Struthio camelus: one gene and its partners. The main gene of each other region encodes a partner of the protein of the gene in region 3 in a complex. Links are inferred from orthologs where the notes say so. Each region holds a gene or a part of one and is shown on either strand. Other genes may lie near its edges.

Evidence for each region.
Region 1: SNRPF (region 3) and RBMX2 share a complex: the UniProt entries of both Homo sapiens proteins name them as parts of the minor spliceosome. The link is inferred for Struthio camelus from reciprocal best matches to the Homo sapiens genes SNRPF and RBMX2.
Region 2: SNRPF (region 3) and USP39 share a complex: the UniProt entries of both Homo sapiens proteins name them as parts of the U4/U6-U5 tri-snRNP complex. The link is inferred for Struthio camelus from reciprocal best matches to the Homo sapiens genes SNRPF and USP39.
Region 4: SNRPF (region 3) and PLRG1 share a complex: the UniProt entries of both Homo sapiens proteins name them as parts of the minor spliceosome. The link is inferred for Struthio camelus from reciprocal best matches to the Homo sapiens genes SNRPF and PLRG1.

The regions. Positions count from the first base shown.
Region 1 is NC_090952.1:1,703,376-1,711,162, forward strand, and holds the start of RBMX2 (RNA-binding motif protein, X-linked 2), read right to left. Parts: upstream 3,010-7,787; 5' UTR 2,989-3,009; coding exon 2,939-2,988; intron 2,840-2,938; coding exon 2,724-2,839; intron 2,522-2,723; coding exon 2,470-2,521; intron 2,304-2,469; coding exon 2,174-2,303; intron 2,010-2,173; coding exon 1,829-2,009; intron 193-1,828; coding exon 1-192. Other genes in the region: RAB33A (ras-related protein Rab-33A), read right to left, coding at 3,141-3,596, 5,801-6,022. UniProt on the Homo sapiens protein: Involved in pre-mRNA splicing as component of the activated spliceosome. As a component of the minor spliceosome, involved in the splicing of U12-type introns in pre-mRNAs.
Region 2 is NC_090968.1:1,819,906-1,827,671, forward strand, and holds the start of USP39 (ubiquitin carboxyl-terminal hydrolase 39), read left to right. Parts: upstream 1-4,761; 5' UTR 4,762-4,777; coding exon 4,778-5,180; intron 5,181-5,575; coding exon 5,576-5,645; intron 5,646-5,769; coding exon 5,770-5,864; intron 5,865-6,209; coding exon 6,210-6,346; intron 6,347-6,765; coding exon 6,766-6,918; intron 6,919-7,032; coding exon 7,033-7,258; intron 7,259-7,409; coding exon 7,410-7,487; intron 7,488-7,766. Other genes in the region: VAMP5 (vesicle-associated membrane protein 5), read left to right, coding at 432-635; C27H2orf68 (UPF0561 protein C2orf68 homolog), read right to left, coding at 2,159-2,281, 2,791-2,936, 3,623-3,738, 4,142-4,440.
Region 3 is NC_090942.1:52,291,085-52,297,481, reverse strand, and holds SNRPF (small nuclear ribonucleoprotein F), read right to left. Parts: upstream 2,212-6,397; 5' UTR 1,912-2,211; coding exon 1,909-1,911; intron 1,700-1,908; coding exon 1,574-1,699; intron 1,287-1,573; coding exon 1,222-1,286; intron 636-1,221; coding exon 569-635; 3' UTR 520-568; downstream 1-519. UniProt on the Homo sapiens protein: Plays a role in pre-mRNA splicing as a core component of the spliceosomal U1, U2, U4 and U5 small nuclear ribonucleoproteins (snRNPs), the building blocks of the spliceosome.
Region 4 is NC_090945.1:39,286,528-39,293,674, forward strand, and holds the start of PLRG1 (pleiotropic regulator 1), read right to left. Parts: upstream 3,008-7,147; 5' UTR 2,889-3,007; coding exon 2,880-2,888; intron 1,520-2,879; coding exon 1,413-1,519; intron 1,191-1,412; coding exon 1,048-1,190; intron 18-1,047; coding exon 1-17. UniProt on the Homo sapiens protein: Involved in pre-mRNA splicing as component of the spliceosome. Component of the PRP19-CDC5L complex that forms an integral part of the spliceosome and is required for activating pre-mRNA splicing.

The DNA of each region.
Region 1 (7,787 bases), on a different chromosome or scaffold from region 3:
GCTGCGTCCTGCTCCCATATTTCCTCTCAGACCCGTTCCAAGACTGCTGACTCACGCTGGCATACCGGTCATAGGCAGGATCCTCTTTCTCCTTTTTAATCTTGATTCTTGGATGTGACTCCTCTGCGGACGCAGCCCTCTTCACAGCATGCAGGCTCTGCTTTTGCCGTTCTTGCCCGCTTTTCTCTTTATCTGAAATACAGGTTCATCTTTAGGGAGCAATAGCCCTGCAAGCATTAGCTCAGCTCCTCAAGCTATGCCACTTAACACGACAGCGTTTTTTGAACACCCTCCCATCTTTAGATAAGGTCAATGATTTTCCCCTCCCCTCCCAAGTTTCACAGCCTCCTAACGGCCCAGAGAGATCCTATTCCACTTTCAGCCCTAGCACTTTTCTCCTCCAGATGGAACCATCCCACTTTCTTCTTTCACAATTGCCACATTGCATTTTTCCCAGCTAAGCTGTCCTGGCACATTTTAACATGGCTCAGCCCATCAACCACTTTCCTTCAATTCTCTTTTCTCAATAACAGACATGCAACACTAAGAACGTCCTTAACAACTCTGTGGAAATGTCCTTCTCTGGACTCAATGCTTCTTTTCCTTCTTCACTCTCCTTTGCCTTTCTCATTTTTGCACATCTCCTCAGCTCTCTGGAGCAACATCTAGTCCCCACCTTAGTTTTCTTCCATATTTTCTTTTCTCCAGCCCACTTCTTGCAAACTAGGACTCTAGCCTGACCATCCCATGCCAAGGCACCCACCCCACATCCACATCAATGCAACACTACTGAACCTGCTGCAAATAGCTAACAGGGAGCCTGTCACAGATACTGCCCAGGTGCTGGAGGGAAGAGTCCTCCACATGGCTGGTTACATGTCATAAGCACTAGCCAATTCCAGAATGACTACCACCTCCCCACCCACCCCAACACCACCATGCCAAACCAGCTCATCCTGGGAGCTGTGACCCCATTTCAGTTAGGTACCACTCGGAAGGAGCTAACAAACAAATCTAAAGAGGTTCTGCTACAAGCCACTGCTTCTAGCACTCTGCAGGCCTTGATGTGCATTACTTTTCAAGACCTCTGCTACGAGGTTGGATAAAAACCATAATGCTTTCTAAAAAAAGCATCAATCTGATCATATAGGCTAACCCTTTACTTGGCACATTCATTTAGTAAACCCAAGCTGAACAAAACTATTTCCTTAACAAAAACAGATGTTTTCTGAAAGATATACAGCAGCAGACCTTGTTGTGTCCCCTGACAATAGGGAATATTTAAGCATTGAATTGGTTTAACTTATGCTATATTTTTAAGTCTACCTTGGATTGAGATTTTTATGTCCAGAAACCAAAGCCAACTAAGTCTGCTCTTTTTATTCTCTACACAATTTAATTATGTTTTGCAGGCCACACAAGGGTCATGCAATGCTCCTGCAGCACCTCAATCTTAAAATCAGGAAGCAGCTATTCTAAGACTAAGTAGTGCCTTTCCTTTCCCTACCCCAAACAGCATTGCCGCTCCCTGGAGTAATGCTACAGCCTGGCAGCCAGTTTCTTTCTTCCAGGAAAAAAGTACTATTATTACCTGCAAGATACAGCTCTGAGAGGATGGGAGTAAAAGACTAAATACAGACAATCAGATACCACTCAGGAGATCACAAATTACAACCTGGACTTTAGGACTGAGGCCCTTTTCAAGCACACATCTGCCCCTCCTTCTCCCACTGATGCTGTTTCCCTGAGCTGAAGGCACTAGCAAGACAGAGGGATTCATGCAGACATTCCCAACTGGGGTAAGGACTCTGACAGAAATACACTTAACCTTTCTGCTTTTTTACTGGCACGTTATCATCTTCTGACAACGAATCAGATGAAGTATGAGGTGGCGTTTTAACTCCACAGCCCTTTTCACGGAGGGCTTTGGTGACATCATCTAAATCATCAGTGTCTTTGGGGGGGCGATAGCTAGCCACATGGTCCACTCGAATTGTCCTTCCTTTTATCTACAAGAAGGAGTCACATCGTTAGCACAGCCACAGGCAAGCTTCCCAAGCAACACGGGATACCAGTGACCCACACTGCTGGGGCTGCTGTTTGACACGACATGACATGTCATACCACAAGCCTCTTTAGCTAGAAGGACTGTGTCTCGCTCTGCTTCACTGACCTTGATTCCATTAAAGTTGTCAACAGCCAGAATAGTGCTTCTCTGGTCTTCATAACAAAGAAAGCAGAAGCCTTTAGACTTTCCAGTCTTCTTGTCCCGCACCAGATTAATGTTCACAACCTCTCCATACCTGAAACGCATGATTAGCGGCCAAAACCACTGCGGAGAACGCACAGAGGGCCTCGGGGCCTGCAGGAGGGCAGGCAGCAGAGGCAGAGCACCTCCCATTCCGCAGGGTCCCAGCGTACCTCCACCACAAGCAGGCCCTGAAGGGTAGCAAAGGCAGCGCCACTTACTGTGAGAACACGCAGATGACGTCCCCTTCGGTCAGCTCGTAGGGCAGCCCGCCTGTGGAGGAGAGGCGTGCGGCGGCGGCGGCACGGAGCACGGCAGCCGCCGGGAGGGGCCGCGCCCCGGGCGCTGTCGGAACCCCTCCCGCCTGAAGGGGGCGCGCGCGCGCGCGGCAGGCCCCGCGCCCCCCGAGCCGGGCGGCGGCGCCCCGCGCCCCCCCTAGCCGTGCCGTGCCGTGCCGTGCCGTGGCCGCACGTACCGACGAAGACCCAGGCGCTGTCCTTGTACTCGGCGTGCCACGACACCGCCTCCTGCACGCCCAGCTCCGCCTCCCGCGCGTTCAGCTCGTTGATCAGCTTCACCTTCGTCAGTGGGCTGGGGGCGACGGGCACCATTAGCACCGAGGGAAGGGGGTCTTCTTTCCCCGCCTCCCGCCCCCCCCCGGCACTCCCCACGCGCTCCCCGCAAACCTACTTCATGGTGACAGCGCCGTACGCTGCGCCTGCGCCCCGGCCTCCGCGCATGCGCGTCGCGCAGCCGTGCACAGCCCCGCCCCCTGCCCGCCGCGCATGCGCCGCGCGAAGCACCACCAATTGCAGCCACACAGACTTTATTGGGTAACAGTGACACAGGGCGGCGGCGGCGGCCCCGCTCCCGGCCCTCTGGGCCGGCTCGCTCAGCACGGGCAGGAGTTTTTACCGTTGGCGTCCTGCGTGAGCTCCAGTTTCTGCACCTTGCCCTGCTGCCTTTCCATGTCTCGGTAGAGCAGCGACTTCTGGGCCTTCAGCCGGCAGGCCAGGCACATGAAAATGGATTCCACGTTCTGGCTCTCCTTAGGGTCCTTGGCTGAGGTCTCAAACAGCAGCATGTTGTGAGCGTCAGCGAATTTCAGGGCCATGCTGGATGGCACTTGGATCAGTTCCTTTAAGTCACACTTGTTCCCAACAAGCACCTTGGGCACGAGGGGAGGCACCGCGTGCCCGTTGCACTCCTCAATCCACATCTTGAGGTTGGTGAAGGACGTCATCTTAGTGACGTCGTAGACGAAGACGACGGCATGAACGTTGCGGTAGTAATGTTCTACCATGCTCTTCCGAAACCTCTCCTGGCCAGCCGTGTCCCACACTTGCACCTAGAAAGCAAAGCATAGGGTTCTTGAGGCAGACGAGGGAAGCTTACGGGAGCACCAAGTGCCTACCCCTAAAACCAGGGCATGCTGCCTCAGGAGCTGGTTGGTTTTGATGAACTACAGCGGGAAGATGCAGGAGACACCTACATCTTACTAGACAAGGATTGCTAGATGAGTTACATAAGCGTCTGGGCATGTGTCCACAGCGCCCAAGACTGTATATGGCAGTGCCTATGCCCCAAAGCTTGTGTAATTCAACCAGCAATCCCAGCTCGTTTAATAAGAGAGATCATGTCAGCACTTTCATTCACCTTCAGCATTCACGGACAAGTGCGAGACTCCACCGCGCATCCCATTTCCAGCCACTGCAGCTGAGTCCAGCACAGTCAAGAGAATTAGCCGCACGCTTTTGGTCCTTGTGCTCTGAGCGAGAAACGTCGCTGCCTGATGGCTGGGTCTTGGTGACTTTCAAACGCCTTGTCAGGCATCCCTCCTAGAGCACTCCGCTGCCAGACCACTCCCTGCCTCTCATCCTCTTCCTCATGCACTTGACCAGCATTCCCACCACAGAAACGAACTGCACAAAATACTTCTCATTTCAGAAACATTCTTGCACCAGATTAGGACATTGGTCTGCCTAATCCTATGCCATAAAAGAGAACCTCAACAATTACACAGTGGTAGGTATAGAGGAGGCAGAGCAAAGAGACTGGTCTCCCTGCTGGTCCTCACAGGTAATGCCGTGAAGCCTGGAACTGGTCATTTCTAACAAAAGCCTGTGGTAAACCCAACACCACCCCTACACCTTACCAAGGCAGCACCTGCCCCAGAGTCCTTCAGAGGGGAAAAATGCTGGCAAAAAAGAGCTGCTGCTCATTCACCAATTCCATGCCAATCCATCCCAGGCCGTTTGATTTGGGTAGAGCAGGAGAGAGAGATGGATGTCTCCCACCTCTCACCTCTCCTCTTGGACTTCCCGGTTACACATGCTCCCAGGGGAAGGCCAGGTTGCTGTCCTACCCTCCAATCCTGCCTGCTGTAGCGCAAATAATATCAAAAGGTAGCAAGCTTGGCACTGTTCTCAAGCTAGCGGCAGTAAGAAGGGCTTCATGCCAGCCTGTGCTACAGCTTACAACAACACATATATGTGGTGTTGGATGGAGCTGGGGAAAGCATGGGGGAAATTAATAACTCTTCTTAAAAAAAAAAAAAAAGTATTTCATGGACAGTTTAAAGGCACAATTAAAATTCCAGTTCTAGTTCTCACTGTGATTAGTCCCTCAACTTTTGATCATCCATCTGTTAGCAAAGTAGCAATATTTGTTTCTTCAAGCAGTCTGTCTTACACCCAGACTGCTGGTGGTACTGATCCACGTAATCGGGCAGGCCAAGATCAGCTGCAAACTGTGCTTCTCAAGTTGTTTCTTAGCAGCTGCTGTTGAGCTGCAGATCTACTCTGACACATCGATCAGAGCTCTTCAGGTCTGAGCTAATTAATTTCTTACAGTTGTTACACTGGTCTACACACAGCAAATCAGTTCTATTCTAGGTCAGCGAAAATCACATCCTTGTAGTGCTTGCTAACACCAGCCTGGAACAGTAACATCACAGGTGTCAAGCCCACTGAAGTCAGCCAGTGTAAATTCCCGGCCCCCCAGCACAGCCACCACCAGCCTCCAGCAGTCTGCTCCCCGAAAGCATACACATTTCTGCATACAGCTCCTTCCTCTGGCGCCCCTGGAGCGTTGCCCCTCGCGCTGTCCTGTGGTCCGCCTCCTGGAGCTGGAGGCACTCCTGACACTTTGGAGATCCATCTGTGTTGGATATCGGAACAACAGGACACTAGCAATGTTTCACTCCGCGCTATTGTTCCAGACTCCCTGCAGACTCCAGCAAACAGCGTTTGAACAGCGCCGGTGGAGCCGCGACACGTTCGGAGGGTGTCTGCAGGGCGAGAACGAAACATCCTCCCGCGGCCCGGGGCTGAGGGCTGCATCTGGAAGGGAGAGGCGGCTGGCTGCCGTCCCAGGGGCCAACGTGCGGCCTCGCCGCGGCCGGGGTCGCCCCTCGGCGCTGCGGCGCCCGCTGCGCGCCGCCCGCACCCCCGCGGCCCCGGCCGCCTCGCCACGGCCCGCGCGGAGCGGCCGCCCCCGGCCCGCCCCCGCCGCCGCCGCCGCCGCCGAGCCGGCCGCGCGCCCGCCGCCCACCTTGATGCGCTCCCCCTCGATCTCCACCGTTTTCTCTCGGAAGTCCACGCCGATGGTGGCCTCGGTCTTCTCGGGGAAGGTGCCCCCGCAGAAGCGGAAGGTCAGGCAGGTCTTGCCCACGTTGGAGTCCCCGATCACGATGATCTTGAAGATACGTGTCTGCACGTAGGGCTCCAGTGAGGACTCGGGGCCCGGCGGCCGCCCGCCGCCGCCCGCCGCCATCCCGCGCCGCCGCCTCACCGCCTCATGGGGCAGCGCCGCGCCGCGCCGCGCCGCGCCGCGCCGCGCACAAAGGCTGCGGCTGCGGCTGCGGCTGCGGCGGGCGGAGCGGGATCAGGTGGTCGGTGCACACGGAGAGCGGCGGGCCCGCCCCGCCAACCGGCACCCGCACCGGCCCCGGCCCCGGCCCCGGCTCCAACCCCAGCCCGCCCGCGCACCCGCCCCGGCTCCAACCCCAGCCCGCAAACGGGCACCCGCACCAGCCCGCCCTGCAAACGGGCACCCGCACCAGCCCACCCCGCCATCGGGCACCCGCACCCGCACCAGCCCGCAAACGGGCACCCACACCAGCACCCGCACCAGCCCACCCCGCCATCGGGCACCCGCACCAGCCCGCCCGCGCACCCACCCCGGCACCAGCCCACCCCGCCATCGGGCACCCGCCCCGGCCCCAGCCCGCAAACGGGCACCCGCACCAGCACCCGCACCAGCCCACCCCGCCATCGGGCACCCGCACCAGCACCAGCCCACCTCGCCATCGGGCACCCGCCCCGGCCCCAGCCCGCAAACGGGCACCCGCACCAGCACCCACACCAGCCCACCCCGCCATCGGGCACCCGCACCAGCCCGCCCGCGCACCCGCCCCAGCACCAGCCCACCCCACCATCGGGCACCCGCCCCGGCACCACCCCACCATCGGGCACCCGCCCCGGCACCACCCCGCCATCGGGCACCCGCACCAGCACCAGCCCGCCCTGCCATCGGGCACCCGCCCTGGCACCAGCCCACAAACAGGCACCTGCACCAGCACCCACACCAGCCCGCCCAGCGCACCTGCACCACCGGCTGTTTCCACCAACCCTTGCGCTGTGGAGACCTGGCTGTGTCACACCAGCATGGGCACAGAGGCATGGTCAGTGTCACACCTGTCAGGACACTGAGACACAGTGAGTGTCACCCCATCGTGGGCACAGAGGCATGGCTGGCATCACACCAACGTGAGCACAGAAACAAACTGCTGTCACACCAATGCAGGCACAAAGACACAGCCAGTGTCACACCACCATGGGCACAGATACACGTTATGTCACACCAGCATGGGCACAGAGACATGGTTGGTGTAACACCTGTCAGGGCACAGAGACACAGCCGGTGTCATACTAACATAGGCATAGAGACACTGTTGGTGTCAAATATTGCTACAGAGACACAACCATTGTCCTACTTGTCAGGGCAGGGACACACAGCCAGTGTCACACCAAATTGAGCACAGAGACACAGCTGGTATCAAACCTGACAGGGCATGGAGACACACCAATACGGCCACAGAGGCTCAGCCAGTGTCACTCCAACAAGGGCAAAGAGATGCGGTCATTGCCACACCAATATAGGCACAGAGAGATGGCCAGTGTTGCACCTGTCAGGGCATAGAGACATAGCCAGTGTCACACCAACACAGACACAGAGACAATGTTGGTGTCACATGAATATCACCACAGAGACATGGCCATTGTCCCACCTGTCAGGGCATGAAGATACAGCTGGTGTCACAACAATATGGGCACAGAGAAGCAGTCAGTGTCACACCAATGTGTCTCCAGGTCGTGAAAGATGTGACACCGACTGAGTCTCTGTGCCTGTGTTGGTGTGACACCAGCTGTATCTCTGTGCTCATGCTGGTATGACCCCAGCCAAGTCTCTGTGCCCATTTTGTTGTGACAATGGCTGTGTCATGGTGCTGATGTTGGTGTGACATTGGCTGTGTCTC
Region 2 (7,766 bases), on a different chromosome or scaffold from region 3:
GGCACCATGCTGGGGGGGCACATTGGGGACATAGAGCCCTGGATGGCCACCATGGGGACATATGGCCTGGGGCACCATGCTGGGTGGGTACAGTGGGGATGTGGAGCCCTGGATGGCCACCATGGGGACATATGGCCACAGGCACTGTGCTGGATGGGCATGGTGGGGACAGAGAGTCCTGGATGGCCACCACAGAGATATATGGGCCTGGGTACTGTGCTGGGTGGACACCATGGAGACACAGAGCCCTGGATGGGCATCACAGGGCCATATGACCCTGGACACCATGCTGGGTGGGCACCATAGAGACATGTGGCCCTGGGCCACCTTGCTGGGTAGGCACCATGAAGACATCAAGCCTCACATGGGCACCTTGGGGTGGCCCAGTGTGGCGGTGCCCATCCCGGCACCCATGTGCTGTTTGCCACCAGGGCCAGACGTTCACGCGGACGAGCCGGGCGGTGGCACAGAAGCAGCGGGCTGGGCAACGGCGCTGGTGCCTGGTGCTGGTGGGGCTGGCTGTTGGCCTTGCCATCATCATCCTCATCGTGGTGCTGGCACTGTGGCTAGGTGGCACCCGCGCCACCCCCCCTGTGCCCCCCACCGTCACCCGCGCCGCCCCTGGTGGGGACTGAGCCCCCCGGCCTGCCCCCCCGCCAGTGCCTCTGGAGACCCTACAATAACTCGCAACCTGGGACCTGCTTCAGGGAGATTCTACAATAACAAGCCACCAGGATCTGCTTTGGGGGGACCCAGTAACAAACCATGGGGACCTACTTTGGGGAGGCCCTACAATAACAGCTCACCAGGACCCACTCCAGGGAGACCCTACAATAACAAGCCAGTGGGATCTGCTTCAAGGAGACCCTACAATAACAGCTCACCAGGACCCACTCCAGGGAGACCCTACAATAACAAGCCAGCAGAACCCACTCCAGGGAGACCCTACAATAACAAGCTACTGGGCCCACTTTGGGGAGACCCTGCAATAAAAAACCACTGGGTCCTGCTCCAAGAAGACCCTACAATGACAGACCAGCAGGACCCACTCTAGGAAGACCCTACAATAACAAAGCCCAAGCCTGCTTCGGGGAGACACTACCATACCAAGCCAGTGGGACCTGCTCCAAGGAGACCCTACAATAACAAGGCCCTAGAACCCACTCTAGAGAGAGCTGACAATAACCAGGCCCTGCTTTGGGGAGGCCCTACAATAACAAAGCACTGCAGGAAGGGGTGACCCTGACCTGGGGGCACTGCTTGGGCAGGGAGAAATCGCCCTCTGCCAGCTCCGCCTTGGGTGCCCCAATGGGGACGGTCAAGGACCCAGGCATCCGGCAGTGCGGTCCCCACCCTGGGAATGTCACCCATCTCCAGTCCCATCCCCCTGCCCAGGGTGGGGCATGGCAGGACCCCAGGGTGCTGCAGCCTGGTACCACTTCCCTGCACCCCAAGGTGGCCTGGCATCGCCCGGGTACAGGGCACAGCCTGGACCCCTCCTGGGGCACGGCATCCCTGGGCAAGTGTCACCCAGGAATCGCCCTGGCACCCTGTGGCATCGCCCAGGTGCCTGTGGCACAGCCTGGCACCCCCTGCCCAGGTGGGCACCGGAGCCAGGACCGTCTCCACTGTGAGTCTCTTTATAGCCGCTACCGTGATTAAAAAACCAAAACCACTACAGATCCCAGAGTCTGTCCCACTGCTGTAGGTGCCGCAGCCCCACACCTGGGAGGGGACCCCAGGGAAAGGATGGGGACACTGGGGACCCAATGGCCCTGGCCATGCCACTCCAGAGCCCTGGGAGGGGACAAGACGGGAGATGTCGGGTGACGTCCCTGGGGTGGATGGCAACGGGTGAGGCCACGCTGCAGACCCCTGGAGAGCGGCCCCGGTGCGGCCACGCCAGCACCCACGCATGCAGCACCTCGGCACCCACCAGCACGGCCCCGGGGTCCCTGCCAGGCTCCTGGTGCCCCCACCCCATGTCTCAGTATCCCCAGGGTCCCCAATGAGAGCCGCACGCCGGGGACTCGCAGCACCTTTATTGGCATCAAATGCCGACCGGCACCGGCTGACGCTGTCCCCTCCGGGCTGGCAGTGTCCCCCCTGCCGCTGGCACTGCTGGGTGGTGGGGCAGAGCCGGAGGAAGGTGTCCCCATCACCGGGTCCCACGGCGCTTGCTGAGCTCGTCCTGCACCCGCTGGCACAGGGCCCGGCGCAGGGCGGGCTCCAGCGGGCTCCGGGCGCACACCCGCTGCGTCACCTCCTCCGCGCTGTCCGCCTGTGGCGCCCCCACCCCCTGTCAGTGGCACCCGTGGGTGCCCGCCATCCCCCCAGGTTTCCTGCTGCCCCCCATGCTCTGGGGCACCCGCTGCACTTGCTGCGCACTCCACAGCACCTGTCTGCACCCAGGGGCACCCGCCACCCCCATAGCACCCATCTGGGTGCTGGGGCACTTGCCATCCCCCACAGCACCTGCCTGTACCCCAGAGTACCCCCCCCCCAAAGGCACCCACTGCCTCCCGGAGCACCTAAAACCCACTGTCCACCCCTTAAACCTAAAGGCACCCACCTACACCTGGGGCAACTAGCACCCACAGCAGCCCACAGCACCCACCTGCACCCAGCACCCACAGCCCCCCTGCGCCCCAGGGGCACTCACAGCATTGCCCAGGCAGGAGGGGACCCAGCTTCCCCCCAGCGCACCGTGGGACGCCCTTGAAACGCGGTAGCGCAGTGCTGTGGTTAGAGGTGGGGGTACCCGGACGCCTGGGTCCCTGGGGTGCCCACCTGGTGCACGATCACAGCAGTGACGCTCCCGTCGTCCCCCTCGTACTCGAGGCAGAAGAGCCGGGGCCCGCGGGCGTCCGCGGCGGTGGCACCCGCGCTGCTCTCGGCTGGGCTCCGCTCTGCCCCCGCTGCTGGCACCCAGCACCCTGAGCGGTGTCGCGGGGGCACTGGGTGCTCCGAGTATCCTTCATGCCCCAGCCCACCCTAGGGTGCCCCCAGGCACCAGCCCCCCCCCCCAGCCCTCCTTTGGGTGCCCCTCACTCCCCAACCTACCCTAGGGTGCTCCCCATGCCCTAGCACACCTTGGGTGCCCCCCACATCCTGGGACACCCCAGGGTGCCCCTCATGTCCTGGCTCACCCCAGGGCACCCTTTGTGACCCAAACCTCTTCTGGGTGCCCCCCAAGACCCCATCCCTCCCTTAGGTGTCCCCCATCCCCATCCCTCCCTTGGGTGCTCCCTGTACCATGGCCCACCCCAGGGTGCCCCCCATGCCCCACTGCATCCCAGGGTACCCCCTATGCCCTAGCCCACCTTAGGGTGCCCCCCCATGTCTTAGCCTCCCCCTTGGGTGCCCCCACGCCCCAGCCCACCCCGGGGTGCCCCCCCATCCCCATCCCTCCCCTGAGTGCTCCCTGTACCATGGCCCACCCCAGGGTGCCCCCCATGCCCCACTGCATCCCAGGGTGCCCCCCCATCCCCATCCCTCCCCTTCGGGTGCCCACCATGCCCTGGCCCACCCCGGGGTGCCCCCCCACGTCTCAGCCCCCTCCCTCGGCTGCTCCCCTCCCCAGCGTCCCCCCCCCGCCCCCCCTCCCACCGCCGGGGCTCACCGGGGCCGCGGGGCCGGTAGACCTGCTGGTCGGGTCGGCGGGGCCGCGGTGGGGCCGGTGTGTGGCGCTTCCGTGCCCGCCCCCGGGCCTGCCGCACCGCCCGCTCGTAGGCGTCCCTGCACCGGCACCGGCACCGGTACCGGCACCGACCCGCTCAGCGCTGCCGCCCCCGGCACCGGCACCGCGCCGCCGGCAAAGGGGGCCCGGGGGAGGTGAGCGGGAGGAGACGGGGGGTCGGGAGGACATGGGGGACCCGGGGGGGGGGTGTCCCGGTGATGCACTGGGCTCCGGTGGGGGGAGGAGGGGGGCGTCCCGGGGGGATCCCGGAGATGTTTTGGGGTCCCGGGGGGGGGAGACAGGGGCGCTGGAGGGGCAGGAGGGGTCCCGGGGCTCCACTGGGGTCCCGGGGGTGCCTTGGGGTCCCGGGGGGGGGCTTTGGGGCGTCATGGGGCCCTGAGGGGGCCCCGGTGAGGTCCGGGGGGCGGGCGGGGGGCCGCGAGGCGGCCCCGGTGCCGGTACCTGGCGATCTGGTTGCGGCGGATGTGGCGCACGAAGCCGTGGCTCATGTCGAGCCGCCCGCCCGGCCGGCAACGCCAGCCCGCGCCCGCCTCCATCGGCCGCCGCTCCCGGGACCGGCCCGCCGCCGCCGCCGCCCCCTGCAGCCTACCCCCCGCGGGCACCGGCGGTGGCGGGGAGCGGCCGGGACTGTCCCCGGAGCCGGACCCCCGAGGGTGCACGGCGCTGCACACCGCACCCGGTTGGAAAAGGGACGCTGTCTCTTTAAAAGCCCCGCCGGCCGCACCGGCGCCGGTGGGCATGCGCCGCAGCGCCGCCAGCGGGCGGGAGCCGGCGCACTGCGCAAGCGCTAAGGAGGTTCCCCGCCTCCCCCCCCTCCCCGGCTCCGGGCGGATCCCCCGCTCATGCGCGCTAGCGGGGGTGCGGCCGCTACCCTTCCGGATTGGAGCGGCGCATGCGTAGTGCCTGAAACGGCGGTGAAGATAGGGGGCGGTGGAGCGCACGGTCCGTGCTCTTGCGCACGCGCAGTTCTCACTCACGGCTCGGTGCCCCCGCGCCGGCCTGGGGAGGCGCCTGCGCAGTGCCGCCGCCGCGCCTGCGCAGTGCCGCCGCCGCCGCGCCTGCGCAGTGGGCGGCGGGATGTCGAGCCGCGGCAAGCGGGAGCGGGAGCGGGAGGCGCGGGCGGCGCCGCGGGGCTCGGGCGGCGGCGGCGGTTCGTCGTCGTCGTCGTCGCGGGGCTCGTCGCGGAGCCGCCGCGAGGGCGAGGCGGAGCGGTCGCGGGGGCGGCGGGAGGCGGAGCGGGGGCGGGACCGGGACCGGGACCGGGATCGGGATCGGGACCGCGACCGGGACCGGCGGGAGGTGGCAGAGCCCCTCCCCCTCCCGGTGGACCCCGCGCGCATCAAGCGCGAGCCCGGCACCGGCACGGGCGGCGGCACCGGCGGCCCCGGCACCGGCACGGGCGGCGGCAGCGGCGGCCCGGTGCGCATCAAGCGCGAGCGCGAGCCCGACGGTGACTCCGAGCCTGAGCCCGAGCCCACAGGTGGGCACCGGGGGCACCGGGCCTGGGCGGAACCGGGGTGCTGCCGGGGTGGTGCTGGGGGAGGTCTGGGGGTGCACGGGGTGGGGGGGCCGGGGGCTGATGTGGGGGGTGCACGGGGGAAACCGGGGGCTGACGTGGGGGTGCACAGAGGGGACGACCGAGGGTGATGCTGAGTGACCCGAGGGACCGATCTGGGGGTGCGCAGGGGGGTCCTGCTGGGGCCGAGGGTTGTTTTATGTCACTCTGAGGGGGACAGGGGTGTTTTTGGTGTCCCTGCATGGGGACACCACCTGGGGAGGAGGCTGGACGATCCTGGAGGAGCGGGGCTACGCGGGAGGAAGGCCGTGAACGGCGGGGGGCCTGGTACTAATGGGGCTGCGTGCTCCCCGCTACAGTGCGCTATGGCCGCTTCGACCCCGAGGACCAGCGAAGCCGGCACTGCCCCTACCTCGACACCATCAACAAGTGAGCGGGGAGGATCCGTGGGCCAGCCACGGGCACTGGGAGGGCAAGCGGAGCGGCGACCCCAGGGCATGGCTCCCTTGGGGGCTGCCCCATACGCCGCGGCTTTCTCCTTTTCCTGCTTTAGGAGCGTCCTGGATTTCGATTTTGAGAAGCTCTGCTCCATCTCGCTGTCGCACATCAACGTCTACGCCTGCCTCGTGTGTGGGAAGTACTTCCAGGGTGAGTTCTCGCCTCAGGGGCTGGGGTCACTGAGGGGCTCATGCTGGTGGGAGGCTGCCTGGGGTCCGTTGGCATGAGGGGGAGGCAGCCCACGAGTCAGACTGGGAGTTGTTTCTCACCTGTCCCCGCGCGCTTGAGGTTCCTTGAGCGATTCCCTTTGCGGCTTGGGGCCAAACATGCATTTATCCATCCCTCTCTGCTCTGGAGCTTGTGGGATCCCACACTCCCCGTGGCCTCGCTGGCTCCTTCACAGTTGAGGTTTGAGCCCTCGGACGCCTGGGCTGCATGGTCTTGCGTTCCCTTGTTCGCGGCCTGTGTCCCTGATGCTTTCCTCTGCCTCGGCAGGCCGAGGGCTGAAGTCTCACGCCTACATCCACAGCGTGCAGTTCAGCCACCATGTTTTCCTCAACCTGCACACCCTCAAGTTTTACTGCCTCCCTGACAACTACGAGATCATCGACTCCTCGCTGGAGGACATCACGGTGCGGGGACCTTCACAGCGAGGGGCTGGGGGACTGGGGAGGGCTGCTGTGACCCTGCAAGTGGTTTGCTCCTCTGAGCTGCACTGAAACCTGAGGATTTAGGTTCATGTCCCTTGGGCTGTCAGGCTTTGCAAGGCCCAGTGGTGGTGGGGAGCTCTGCACCGAGGTGTCTGAGAGTCTCTGCTCGGTTCCTGCTCGCGTGAAAGGCAGCAGGGTTGTGTGAAAGGGATGAAAGTTTCTTAAGTCTTTGCGATAGAGGGGTTCTGGTAGAACACATGGAAGAGGCAGGAGGGTGGCAAGATCTCCGTCCTGGGAGGGTTTCAGAGCACGGTGCCGCTGGGAACTGCAGCAGTGCCTGCGAGGGGGGCCGGTTGGCTTTGGCTTCCTGGCCTGACGCTGTTTCCCCTCTTCTCTCTCAGTACGTGCTGAAACCCACCTTCACCAAGCAGCAGATCACCAACCTGGACAAACAGGCCAAGCTGTCGCGGGCATACGATGGCACCACGTACCTCCCGGGCATCGTGGGGCTCAACAACATCAAGGCCAACGACTACGCCAACGCTGTGCTCCAGGTACGGGCGCGCGAGGGCCTTTGAGCTCGCCCTGGGGGGAGGTGGAGGAAACCCACTTCCCCCTGGGGCTAGCGGGGAGTGCGTCCCAGCTGATCACCGCCTGTGCGCGCGCAGGCCCTCTCCAACGTCCCGCCACTGAGGAATTACTTCTTGGAGGAAGACAACTACAAAAACATCAAGCGCCCGCCCGGGGACATCATGTTCCTGCTGGTGCAGCGCTTTGGGGAGCTCATGCGGAAGCTGTGGAACCCGCGCAACTTCAAGGCGCACGTCTCCCCCCACGAGATGCTGCAGGCAGTGGTGCTCTGCAGCAAAAAAAACTTCCAGATCACCAAGCAGGGTGAGACAGGCGCCTTGTGCCAACAGGCAGCACTTTCCCTGTGCCAGAGGTGGCCGAGGAGGGTTAGACCCCTCTACGGTGCTGGGTGGAGGACAAGGCTCCTTTGTGCTCTTGCTAGGGGTTCACTGCTGATTTATCATCTGGCTTGCAGGTGATGGAGTCGACTTTCTCTCTTGGTTTCTGAATGCCCTGCACTCAGCCCTGGGCGGCACGAAGAAGAAGAAGAAGAGTGAGTGGAGGATGCTGTGGGATGAAGGCTGCTTTCACGCAGCTGGTTTTAACCTTGGGGCAGCCCCAGCCACCCTGATGTCCCCCTGTGATGCTTATCACCTCTCTTGCTCGATCCTTGCCTGAGAGCGGCCGCGTGGGGGAGCAAAGAGCTGGCTGACAACTTTGCAGCTTGCAGTTGGGTGCGAGGTCTGAGCCTTGTAGGGTGTTGCTGGCTAAAAGAAGATTTTAGCCTCTCTCCTAGCCCTGCGTTGCCCTGTGTGAACACCAGCGCTGAGCC
Region 3 (6,397 bases):
TACAGCCTGCATCATCACCATTAGAGAGAGAAAAGGCTGTTCCTGCAAGCTCCTTCACTCTACTCATCCATTCAGCTTAGAGCAGCAGAACAAGCCACGTACACAAGACGGGGAGTTCTTTATCTTCCATTATATGCTAGCCTGCACTGCATTATGGCTACCTGACAGCCAAGTACTGATACTAAATGGAGCTGATAAAAGAATGAGCCATATATTTTCTCCCAGAGTACACAGCTTGGAAGATTTAATTCAGCTCTGGGAATCACTTAAATTCAAATGATCGCCTTAAAAAACAAAACAACCGAAACCCAAAGCTTTTAAGTATTACCAGTCTCAATGTATGACAATACTTTTAATACTCACTTTTCACTCTGAGTTTCTCAGTTTCAAACTGCAACAATTTCTTCTTCCTCCAGCATTAGTTTTTCCAGATGCCATTTAGAGATTACAAGTGATTTAAGCATTAGCTTCCTCCATATTAAAATACAGAGAACGAGAAGTAAACACCTTATTACAAAGTTGTGGAAAATAAAAAAGAAAAAAGTTTATTTCCAGATATACAAAACACCTATTCCCTCATTTCTCCATCTTCTTCTTCTTCTTCCACACCTCTGATGTACAAAACATTATTGCACCTGTAAACAGAATCAAAAAATTCCCTTAGCTGTAAATATAGGTTTTAATTTTCCTCACATATACATCATTTTAGGCATTTTCCTGTACGACAGTAGCCCAGCAACAGCAAAATTCTGCATAGTAAATTGTTGCTGTTGACCTTGCACAGCTTTTCCACAAAATTCATTATAACTGCAAAAAATAAGTTTTTTTAAAGTATTAACTGATTAACAATGCTGTACAAGACAATTTTACTTTTGGATTAACAATTATGGTCAAGCTTAATATGCAAGCATGTAAAATTTTACTCTACCAACGCTAAGGGATTAATAATCTACAATACTCGGGAAAACTAAGGCATTCAATTACTTAAGAGAGGCATCATAAATATTTATTTACGAGTACTTCAAAATTCAGTTTTCCTCTCTTCAGGAGGAATCTCAGCATAAAAGAGTTTGTAGTCTTTGCCCAGGAATTACATTAATGCTTATTTTGGTATATACTTACACAGGAAACACAGCACCTAGCATTACAAGTTTTAGCACAACTGATGTGAAAAAATTTAGAAAGACTCTGCCTCCACCATAAGAGCCCCAATTACCTTACCTTATCAAAACTTCACCAAGGTGTCCAGACAAGGCGCCATCTATATACTCTTCTGTGTTTGCAAGCTTAAGAAGGAAACCAGCAAGCGTTAAAGTGATCGTAATAGAAAACCTCACAGAAAGCACCACGTTTTGCCCACCGGCTGCTGTCTGGCCACCTTGATCGCAGGAGGCCATGCGCAGCTCTCACCCGGCTCCGGTCGAGCCCGCAGCAGAGACACTACAGATCCTTTAAAAGTGCCCGTCCCCCCACCTCCCCCAAGCAGCGGGTGCTCCGAGTCGAGCACAGGGCTGCCCCAGCCCGAAAGACCTCAGCGTGCCCCGGCGACGCGCCCCGCCGACCGCCGCCTCACCTGCATGTTCATGTAACCGTCGACGGAGACGAGGTAGCCCTTGTACTCCATCCCCCACTTGAGCTTCACCATCACCGGCTTCCCCGTCAGCCCGTTCAGGAAGGGCTTGGGGTTCAGGGGCAGGCTCTGCCGGCGAGAGCGGCCCGGTCAGCGTGCCCGATCCCCGCCCGCCCGCCCCGCCCCGCTGCCTCGAGACCGTTAATAACGGCCGCCGCCCCGCCGCCTCGAGACCGTTAATAACGGCCGCTGCGCCCGCTGCCCGCCCGGCCCCCTCCCCCGCGGTGCGGCGCGGCCCGGCCCGAGCGCGGCCCGGCCCGAGCGCGCGCCGCCCTCACCATGGCGAGGCAGCGACCGAGGGGGACGCGCAGGCCGCAGAGAAGCTGCTGCCGGGCCGCACGTGCGCCCGCCGCAGACCGGGAGCCACGGGAAGGCAGGCCCGCTCCGGCTTTCGCTTCCGGGGCGGCGCCCTGCCCTCCGACCTCTCACCCCGCGGCGCCGCAGTTTCCATAGGATGCGGCACCCCTGCGCGCCAAGAGAAAAGCGGCGCTGCCCATTGGCTGGGGGCTGCCACGGGCCTCCCTCATTGGCCGAGCTGGCGCAGCTCGGCCGTCTTCCAACCAATGGTCGGTCCCGCCAGCGGCACCGTAGCTGCCGGCGACGATTTTGTGCTGCGCTTCTCGCCGTTCGGCGCCGGGAGGGGGCGGGGCCGGGGCGGCCGTTGGGGGAGCGGGGCGGAGTCGGGCCGGGGCGGCCGTTGCGGGAGCCGGGCGGCGGGCGGGCTGTCAGGGCCGGCGGGAGCCGCCTCCCGCCTCCGTGCCAGCTGCCTCAGGACCCCATGAGCTGAGTGGAGGCCTTCCCCTCCCTCTCTGCTTTGGTTACCTCGTGCCCGAGAGCCCCGCAGGCCCCGAGCGGTTGATTCCGTGCTCTTTTCACAGAATCACAGAATGGTCGAGGTTGGAAGGGACCTCTGGAGATCATCTAGTCCAACCCCCCTGCTCAAGCAGGGTCACCTAGAGCACATTGCCCAGGATCACGTTCAGATGGCTTCTGAATATCTCCAAGGAAGGAGACTCCACAACTTCTCTGGGCAACCTGCTCCAGTGCTCAGTTACCCTCACTGGAAAGAAGTTTTTCCTCATGTTCAAATGGAACTGCCTGTGTTTCACTTTGTGCCCGTTGCCTCTTGTCCTCTCACTGGGCACCATGGAGAAGAGTCTGGCCCCATCCTCTTGACACTCTCCCTTCAGATACTTGTACATACTGATAAGATCCCCCCTCAGTCTTCTCTTCTCCAGACTAAACAGGCCCAGCTCTCTCAGCCTTTCCTCATAGGAGAGATGCTCCAGTCCCCTCATCATCTTCATAGCCCTCTGCTGGACTCTCTCCAGTAGCTCCATGTCTCCCTTGTACTGGTGAGCCTTTTCCCCTCAAACCGGCAGAAACCTTCTTTCGCCTTGCAAATTGTACCGCAAGAGTAACACCTCCTCTCCCAGCCGAGCACAAATCTGTCACAGCTTAGCGATCCTGGCTGTGTGCGTGTAAGTTACACGTACACACTTGTGAGGGTGTGAAAATGACTACGCTGGAGTCGAAGGCGGTCTTTTCCAGACGTTAACGTTTTGTTCTCGAAGTTTGACAGCGTTGAGGACTGTTTTCAGCTCAGGAATATATTTACTCACATCTCTTGTTATAGCTGTGTGTCTATACAGATATATGTCCACGAGGTGGCAGTGTTTGACTTGGCTGATGACTGCGGCACCACACGGGAGACTTCTGCTAACGAACTTTCCTTCTAGTGTTATCTGCAAGTGTTGCAGGTCAAAACACGGTGGAATCAATTCCCATATAAAAATAAATTTGCAAACCAATACTCTTTCATTACTTCATACACAGGAAAGGCTGAGAGTTTAAAAGACGAATAAGCTATGTCCTTGCCATAGTGCTAGTGCTTTGCTCCCAGGCAAAGAAGCTGCCACAGCTTTTCTTGGCTGTAGAGAGCATCAATGTTTTCATGGTCATGAAACTTCTGCCCTGCTGCTCTGGCTATAATTCCTGACTCTTAATCTTCGAGACATTAACCAATCTTTGTACCATTTACTAATCTGTCATGTCTACGCTAATGTCTATGTTGTCTGTTCTAATCCACGTCTTACGTTATTATATGTGTGAATTTATGTACCTGCTTACGGAATATTCCCTTCATATTTAATATATTGGGTGCTTATGTGGAAAACACACATGTTCAGTAGCTAACCTTTCTGTAACAGAACTTTTTTTTTTTGGTGCACTCTACCTTCCAGAGGATAGTCCAGCTTCCTTCTGCTGGAAGCAAAAAACATCATTACCTGCTTAAATCTGAGTCTTTAATGCTGTCGAGCCGAAGAGTCTTTCTTCTCCTGAGCCAGGCTGCTTTCACGCACAGTGTTAGAGATTCTTTTATGGCTGGGTAGGAGTATGTAAGATTGGCCTTTATGATTCGTTTTAACTATCATGTATCAGAAGCATTCTCAGATGTTTGTTTCCGTCACCTTTAGAAAGGAGCGTGATTTTCCTTTGGAGTTTATTGTAGGCAAGAGAGACAACATTGGAATTAAGCCAATAGTCTTTCTGGTGGCAAGATTCACTGTGGGCCAGCTGAGAGAGTAATTCCAATTGTGTTATGAGCTTTCTATAAGAAAGCCTGGGTTGAGAAGAAGCAATATACAGGAAAAGCAAAATTATTCATGTCATTTGGAGCAAAAAAACAGCTGATTTCCAGCAATGACATGAACAATGTGGCAGAATGCCAATGAGTTTAGAGCCAGTCTCCTGGATAAAATCATGCTGTGGAAGTCATTTTTGCATTTTTCTGACAACTGCTAAGGATAAATATATGTATCTGTGAATGCCAATATAGCAGTTTTGGTATGTTATCTATAAACAACTTTTCTTATTTTTGTATACTTAGCCAGTTTTGATCACAGCGTCTCCAACTCATGCTGGGAGAACTTTTTAGATACCAGGTAATACAGGAGCAATTACATTCAGGTTTTAATTCACTCAGTTCCTCTGACAGATGACTAAATATTGCAGCCCTGTTTTTACAAAACCATTGTTGTCATCAAAAAAATAGAAAATTTGCAAGGTCATAGACAGCAGTTCTTGAGCAAGAGTACAGAGCAGGAATGCTTGACTTCTAGTTTCATAATCAGTGCATGAATTCACACATCAGTGATCTTGTCAACTGTACATTGCGTCTGCAGCAGTTTTGTGTGTTGGTAGGGTAGGAAGAAGTACTTTGCTGGAAGCACAGAATGCATGACTACATCTCATGTAGATAACTGGATAACTTGGTTAATCAGGAAACAGAACAGCTTTTTCTTTTTTTTTTTCTCCTTTGAGGAATTTGCTGTTTACTTTGCTGATTGAATCATTCTGACTCAGAGACAGTCTGCTTACGTGGGTCTTCTCCTGACCTTCAGCACAGGGGTGAATTTCACCTTTTGTCTTCTTTGTACTTCCCCATGCCGAGTAATAGTTTGCATTCTTTTCAGCCTTTGAGTCAGGATATTTAGTCTGTTGCTCAACAGGAAATGAACAGGAAAGAGTTTTTGTCATAGATTAATACAAACCTTAGATCTTGAGTGGATGGATAGTATTTTCTTTTACAGCTCAGAGGTGGGAATTTAGCATGACTGCCTACACTTAGTTCCTAAGGAAACACATTAAGCAGCTGAACATCCGATGGCGGCAGCAGCATTTCTGATGAAGCGATACATTAGACGGTGTTATCTGTGTAAGCGCAAATGCTCACTGACATCGTCAACACACCATGTCACTAATACTGAGGAGAGAAGGCTAGCGCCTGTTCAGCTCTCATTGCTGCAAGACAGCTGAGCTGCCCAGAAATATTTCCTGGTTGAGCTGAATGTGCTGAAACAGGAACTCCCTGCAGTAACTCCATGCTGCCTGTCAAAAACACATTTCTTAGGAAAATTTCTAGAGCTACCCATGTTTCCACTTTTGGACTGCAGACATAATTAATGTCCCACACCTTTTCCTAATGATATACCAGTGTAAATGGGGTTTTGCTCTGCTGCACTGTTCTCCCACATCAAGCAAGCTACTTTTGATAACCACATAGTTTGTCTCTGCTGGAGTCTTAGCAGCACCAACACAGACACCACAGAGGTGGGCAGCAGTTGCAATCAGAGAACTTAAAACAGACGTGAAGGTGCAGCCATGAATTAGGAGTGAGGAGAGCTGTATTACCAAATAGGAAGCTCCACCAGGAGGCTGCACCTTCAAAGGACAGATTTACATGAAAGTAAATCCAGTGCAGCAGCATGGAGTTAGCTTGGGTACACAATGGGATGAACTTCACCTTCTGGTTCTGTTGGGTTTGTACTTGACTCAGCTGTGTAAAGACCCAGTGGTCTTCCCATGCTAACCTGTCCCAGGTGAAGATGACTTGGCAGTATACCATTCTCCTTCCTGCCTCTTGCAGATCTCCCAGACCTCAGTGTCTGGTTCTTGAAGATATTAGGTGGTATGGTGCCTCAGCCTAAGCTAGACACTTTGTACAGTCATGTTGACTGGGGGATGATTTCTGACAGTCTTTCTATTCTAATTTCTTGGGGACACAGTGGTATGACTCTCATGGACCTGGAAGGATTTTGAAGTTGTGTGCGCCACTGGGAGAGTTTTACTGCTGTAGCAACCCTGTTAAAATATGGAGAGAATCTAAGTCTCAAGCTAATCTTGCAAGGAAATAATTTAATGTTTTTCTTCAGCAGTAGGCATAGTGGAAGAATTACCATTATAAATCATGGTGAAATGGAAAAT
Region 4 (7,147 bases), on a different chromosome or scaffold from region 3:
ATATTCAAGTTCTTGTCCTAAAGAGCAACATAATTTCATATTAATAATTATATTTTACACTACACTGCAAATGACATTACAAAGCAGGAAACTGAAGAAAATCAGAGCAGGCCATACATAGCCCTGATCCTATGTAACATACTACATTTACTTGGAATGCATTTGTTTTGGTTATGCCAGTTTTCTAGAACTGGCTAGTAAGATGACATTTTTTAAACGGTGATGCCACTGCCTGTTATCAAAAGGGACTCTTTCTCATGAGAAGCAACTTTATGTTGCCAAAGGTGCCTTTCTGAAGTAGAGACCATGGAAAAGGATTCAAGTACATAATGAACCTGTATTTCACGTACAGCATGGGATCTTTTGATACATAGGCTAGTCAAGACAATTTACGGTGTGATACTGGAGAAGAAAAAGGCAAATACAAGTTCTTTTTTTCTTCAAAGATTTTTCAGTCTCTCTCAACATTTTTTTCTTCACTCTCAGAATATTTCCAAATAAAGTGTTCTGAAAAAATACCTCTACTAAAATAAGAAAGCATTTTGCATTCTTTATAAGGGAAGTTTCTATATGGGATCTACCTAATAGTTTCACATTTTATATTTAACCAAAAAGAAAAAATAGTCAAAAAGATACCATATTTAAAACAAATGGATTTTTCTACTTAATAGCTGCACAGCCAAAGAAAGTCTGAAAAAAAATTCCATGAAACTTAAAAAAAAAAAAAAACTTCATCAACCTGAAAAAGAAGAAATACATCACTGAGCTTATACTTTTCCCAGTAGCTAAGCATAACACACACTATGTTTCTGAATTACTGTAAAAATTACACAGCATCGTATCATTCCCTGTATTCTAACAAACTTTTTCCTTGTTCTAAATCACTAACCTCCTTTGAACTCTAGCAAGAAAAATACCAATGAAAACCAGCTATTATGATTTCCTCCTGTATCTGTGATGGATTAACACTACAGCCTTGAGAACTAACTTCAGTGAGACTGTCTCTTCCAAAACAAAAGACAAACATACCATTAGGAGCAAACTAACCTTGATTGCCAGAATACTGTTTATGTCCATAAGGATCCCCAGTGTTTGAGCCTCCTTTCTCTCTCAAGTTTTCTTTCAGAGTGGGCATGTGCAACACTGAGCCATACTCTGTACGCAACTTGACTGCCATCTTTACTTTGTGACTGTTGGAAGAGGAAAGCATATTAAAGCCTAATCTTTGAGTTGTTATTAACTTTTGAAATATTTTAGAAAGCATTTGACACCACTCACTTTACAATCCTCAAATTTTTCTTCCCTTAACATCACACTGTAATTCTATCCAAACTTGTGACTTGACTAGAACAACCGCTACCATAATTTAAAGCTTTGAGACATACCAGTAATTCACTGATTGCAGCACATACCTTTCTTCATCTAATGGTATAGGCTTGGCATTATCAGCTACAAACATATCATGGGTTCTCTTCAAAGATCTGAACACAAGTGTGTGCACAGAATGCTTTTGGACTTCCTAAAAATAAAGGAAAGCATATTTAAATACATTTGGCCACAGCTGAATAAGGAATTGAAAACAGTAATACAAGTTAAATAGAGTAGCAATTTCAGGCCCTGACAGTGTTAAATGATGCGGCACTATCCAGTTCGCAGAAAACATTCTTGTTGGAAACTAAACATTAAAGTTTATGTGTTGTTTTAATTCAGTGTTTACTCAACTCTCCCTTTCCTGGAAACCAACAAAACTGAGAAAAGCAGGCCAAAAACTTTGATCAAACTTTCTGCACTGGCACCTATATGATGAACACATAAACAGGAAAGATTTTCCTACACACTTGCCAGTTCTGTTTTTATATAGTAACTGATTCTGAAAACATTCCTATAAATTCTATTTCACTATCTCCATAAAAAGAACAAGAGCATTCATAAAACTTCTGTGTAAACTGTGTCACTTAATGCAAGCACGGGAGCAAACATGGGCTCAAACCTGACAAAATTTGTTTTCTCCAAATAATTTTGTTTCCTTATTACCAAAAGCAAAACATTAAAATTCCATTCAAAGACTAAGAAGCAAAATAACAAAACTTTTAGGTCTCTTTCTACAGAATACTCTCTTATTACCAGCACAGTTCAGTTTTTGTTTTCAAATCTTTTCCTCCCAAAGATAAAAAAAAAAAGTCATTAGGAAATAGCTGAAAACAGAACTCTCTATAGGACTGCCTTTGTTCTGCACATCACAGAAATAACAGCAATAAACTGGAAACTACGTTAACACTTTTTGGAACTGGGTTGGGAGTTTCATGCAAACTGAAGAAAGAACTACGGGGAAGAACTGCTGTTCAACTACAGTAGCTATTGTAAACACCACACGAGCGCCAAGTAACAGAATGCCTCCCCATTACGAACGGAAGATCGTGGAGCATCTGGCAACGCTTTCGACAGAGATACCACACTGAAAAAAACAGCAGGCAGCCTGACATAGGCCAGCATTCTTTACATTTTCTTACAGGCTCCTGACAGTTCCCTGTTTTCAGCAGCGCACGAAACTCGCTCCACGCTAACTACCCCACCGCCGACAAACGCGGCGGCCGCCTGCCGGGCAGCGCTGCCGAGACCTCACGAGAAACCCACCGCGTTCCCGACTAGCTAACAAGGCCCGAGAGGGGCACAGCCCCGCGCCCGCCTCCACGCCCGGCCTCAGCCTCGCAAACCACGGCCCACCGAGGCCGAGGAAACCCTCCCGCGCTGCCCTCGGGGCCAGGGGCGCCGCAAAGGCCGAGGGACCGCCGCAGCCGCCGCCTTCACGGGCCCAAGCCGCCCCCGTCGCCTCGCGCCGCGCTCCGCCGCCACCGCGCCGCGGGGTCCGGCCGCCTCACCTCCACCATGGCGCCGGCCACCTCGGACAGCCGCAGCTCACCGCCACCCGCTATGGAGGCACTTCCGGCGCCTGCCTCGCGCCGCACCGGAAGTGGCGCGCCGCGCGGCGAGCGCGCACGCGCGCCGGGGACGGGCGGAGGGAGGGAGGCGAAGGGCGGGGCCGGAATGGGCCGTTGGCGGCGGCGGCGGCGGCGCAGTTTGGGCGGGGCTCAGCCGCACCACCCCCTATTTCCCGTGCCTGGGGTCTGCGGGTTCGAGTCCCGCTCGGGGCGAGAGGGGTCAGTGAGGCGAGGTAGGGCTGTGCCTGAGGCTTCGGCTCCAGAAAGGGGAGTTGCTAGTGGCTGGCAGCAGTCAAATGTCCTTTTATCAGTTAAAAAAAAAAATCTGGATCTTGCAGGTGCTCACCAAGCACTAGCAAAAACCTCCATGCAGGGGCTGCTGAGGTGGAGGGGTAACAACCGCCACAAAATGGGTCTACGGAGTAGGGAAACGGCTCCTAGGGGAGCAAAGCAAGACCTGCAGAGAGCCGGGAAGAGCCTCCTTAATGAGTCGTGGAGGTTGGGCTGTCTGGTGGTGTTTTGTCTAGTGATAAACTGGCACGTATCGAAACTTGAGTTGAATTAGGCCTTGCAGATGAAGCTAAAACAAATGACAAATGGTTTTTCAACCATATAAATAAAAATAAAACACGGAGAGAAAAACTGAGACCGCTCTGGGGTGGGAGCGGTCAAGATGGAGGTAAATGAGCAACCGCCCAAGCAGAAAAAAGTGCTAATATTTTATGCTAGTTGTATCAGCTAGACCGATACAACATCTTGATTCGGTCCTGTTGGGTTAGTTGATACCGACGATTTTTAATCATATAATCAAGACTGGCTGTGGCAGGGACTCGGCGTAAGCAAGGGCACGTCACCGTGCTGATACTTCTGTCTTAAAAGCAACCCTTCACAGTCACCGTCATCACGAACTAGTAAATCTTCCCGTGGTGAAGCTACACATGTTCAGCGCAAGCGTGAACAAGAAATGCTTTAACGCCAGCCTATGCAAGCCGCAGTTACAGCTACCGAACAGCGGAGTGCAATATTGAGCTTTCTGAAAGATAAACTGTGTCTTGCTAAGACCTTGTGAGAACAAGCATGAAATACCCGTAAGGATCCCCTATTACGAGTGATGTCAGCTTGATTTTATAGGACGTGATGGCGTTTTTAATTGTTTTGTGTGGTGCGGTTACATATCTTAATGGTCATTTCCTTCATGAGTTCTCCAAGATAAAGCCGGTTCATGAAACCGTACACAATGAGTTGGACATGGACAATTTTTTAAACCCAGGAGTAAAATGCAACCTCTAAAGAAAAATATTAGTGTTATGTAATATTCTAACAGTTATACTTGATAACTCTTCTGGAAAGATTTCTTTAACTTATGTCCATGGGAATGCTACTTTAAAATGGGAACTAAAGTTGTATATGAGTTGGTGATCCCTACATCTCATGACAAGGTGTGAATTGCTAAAGGACTGAAGTCCATATTTTTTTCAAAGCGTATCCTGCAGCACATTCTAAAAATGTATCATCCAGCACATTGTTCACTTGCCTTCGTAAGTAAAATAACCAAATGCACATGTACCAACTGCAAAGATGCACCTATCTTCTTCACATATACCCATCTACTCTTAAATTCAGGAAGTCTTTTCCCACCAAGCTAAAGCTGTGATTTGGCAAGCACATCTTTTGTCAGTGGGGCCAGCTTTAGTAGCCCTTGCCCCTCCATTACGTTGCTCTTTTTTACCACTGTACCCGTCACTTAATGCAGCTGTCTGTGTGGCTTGAGTTGTGAGCAGACTGAGAACTGATTTAGGCTAAAAAATAATCTACTGAAATACCCATGGTTCATTCAAACTTCTCATCTTTATTAGTCATAGGGTGGCACAACCATGGGATTATTTCTGGCATAAAAATTGCCCTTCTGTTTTGCATAATGACCATCCTCTCTTTCCAAAATTGCTAGATCATTCCTGGTGGCCAGACTGCTCTTTTATAGTTGATAATTGAGATGCAGTAATAGCCATAAATGCACCCTACGTAGCTTCTAACCCCAGCATGCTTCATGCCTATTCTGGGGCTAAGATAGGAGATGGGTAGCAGATGTCTGCTACATTATGCCCCTAGCAGTGGAGGGCCATTGCCATCTCTATTTTGAGCCTGGGAGCCAGGTTTCATGTTTAACCCGAGGACCTATTTCGACAGTCCATCCTGAGAGGCTGGGAAACGCCGGCGGGTTCCTGAGGCTTCGACGGGGATGAGTGCGGTAGACCACAGCAGCAGAGCTGTGCCTCAAGGAGGGGAAGCCCCGTCCACCCTTGTTTAGGTTGCAAACTGGAGCGCAAACTCCATAGGGCAGGAGGTCACTATGGTGCAAGCTGGTTGTGTCCTGCTGGGCTGGTGAGATCAGAGGTGAATTGCAGAGCTCGCTGCTGGAGGGGATCATTCTACCTCTGCCAGAGGGCAAGGGGTCTCCAGCTTGCCTAAGCGTGCTTTCTTGGTTCTAGTGTAAATTCCGTTTATTGCCTAGCATTTAGCCTCTCTTCCCTAAAGAGAAGGAGGCCCCCAAAGGACAGCTGGCTAACCCACGCCCCTGTTAAATCTCCGTTTGTTGCAGATGGAGCCTAGTCTGGGCAGAATGCGTTTGTGCCAGTTGATAGCAGCAAAGGGTGGGTGAACGTTTCCCGAGGCATCTACCTGGGATTCAAGTGACCATGAAGTATTTACCTGGCTTATGGGCTTTGCAAATATAGTTTCTTTTATTTCTCTCACATCCCTGAAAACCATGCTAGAACTTCTTCCAGCCTCTTGGTTTTTGTACGAAAAAGGCTGCCAGCAGGGATTTTCAAGATAAGTGTGGGCTCCAGAGCTTTCTCAGCTGTCTGTTTTCAGAATTCCATCAATTGAAGACACGCAGGTTTTAAAAGGAGATTTAGGACCAGAGATTTCAAACAATTTTTTAAACATCTTTTTTTTAACACGGAGAGAAGTGCATGTCTTTGGTTGGTTGGCTGACCAATGGATTTAATGTGTGTAGATGGTTAGTCTCTGCCAATATATAAAGTACTGTGATATGCTTGTTTCCTTTCTATTGTCTGTTAAAAGAAATCAGGCTTACTTTTTATTGCATTTTTTAAGAAAAGCTTACTTGAGATGCAGACTTTTCTATCAGTCCTTGAAAAAAAAAATCCTCTATTTAGATTTTGCAAAAAAATTTCATTCATATATGCTGTTTCTTGATGTTATTATTAGTGTTCACATAACCCTGTTGTTATTCTCTACTTTTTACAAGTAAACATTCCCTGCAGAATTTTTTAATCTTGCAATGCTTTAGAAAATCAGAGATCAAATTAATCTCTGTAATAATTAAATCTTTTCCAATAGATTTAGTCCAAGGTGAAATTTAGTCCCAGAACTTCATTAAATCATGTCAGCAATATTAATTAGAATATTAATTTTATTCAATTTTTTTATTATATGCTGTAGTTGATGTATTTTTGCATATCAGCTACAGCTGTAATAACAAACTGTGGGATTTTTTGCAAATCACCATTTAGAAAAGGTTACTAGTAGGTTGGATGTGCTTTTAGTGCTATTTTTAAGACCAAGGTGAATAGTTTCTCTCATTAAGGTTTTAAGAACCTGCTTGCTCCCGGGGCATGAAGATAACATAATTCTCATTTACGATAAACCTTTGCAGTAGTATTTGTTACCAGTAAAAGGCAGAAATAAGGACACTAGAGATTAACATATAACTTTTCATTATTCTTTTCGTAGTATGAACTTATTGCAACACTGCTTGTTTAAAAGGACATTCTAAATCAACTGCTAACAACTGGATGTATTTTTAAATTTAATTCAGTAAGCATTATAGCTTATCTGTGGCATAAGAAAGTTCTGTTCCTCCCACATCAAGACTGCTTCAGAGAGCACATTCAGCTTTGAAGCTCCATCATTCAGTGACCTTGACTTGTCTGACTGAGGTTTTGTGTAAAGAGCATTGCATTATCGACAGACAAACCAATAAAACAAACACGAGCGACAGTGCACAAATATTCATTCTTAAAAACACATGCTTGCACCTCTGCCAACAGGTGTCTTTTCTGCATGGTAGGTAGTACTGTACTGTACAAAAAGAGGTCACGGAACACCATAGGGTCGTTGTTTTATTACTGCAATTCCTAATAGCAGGTTTGTAGTGATATCATTGCTACGTAAGTCCAGGA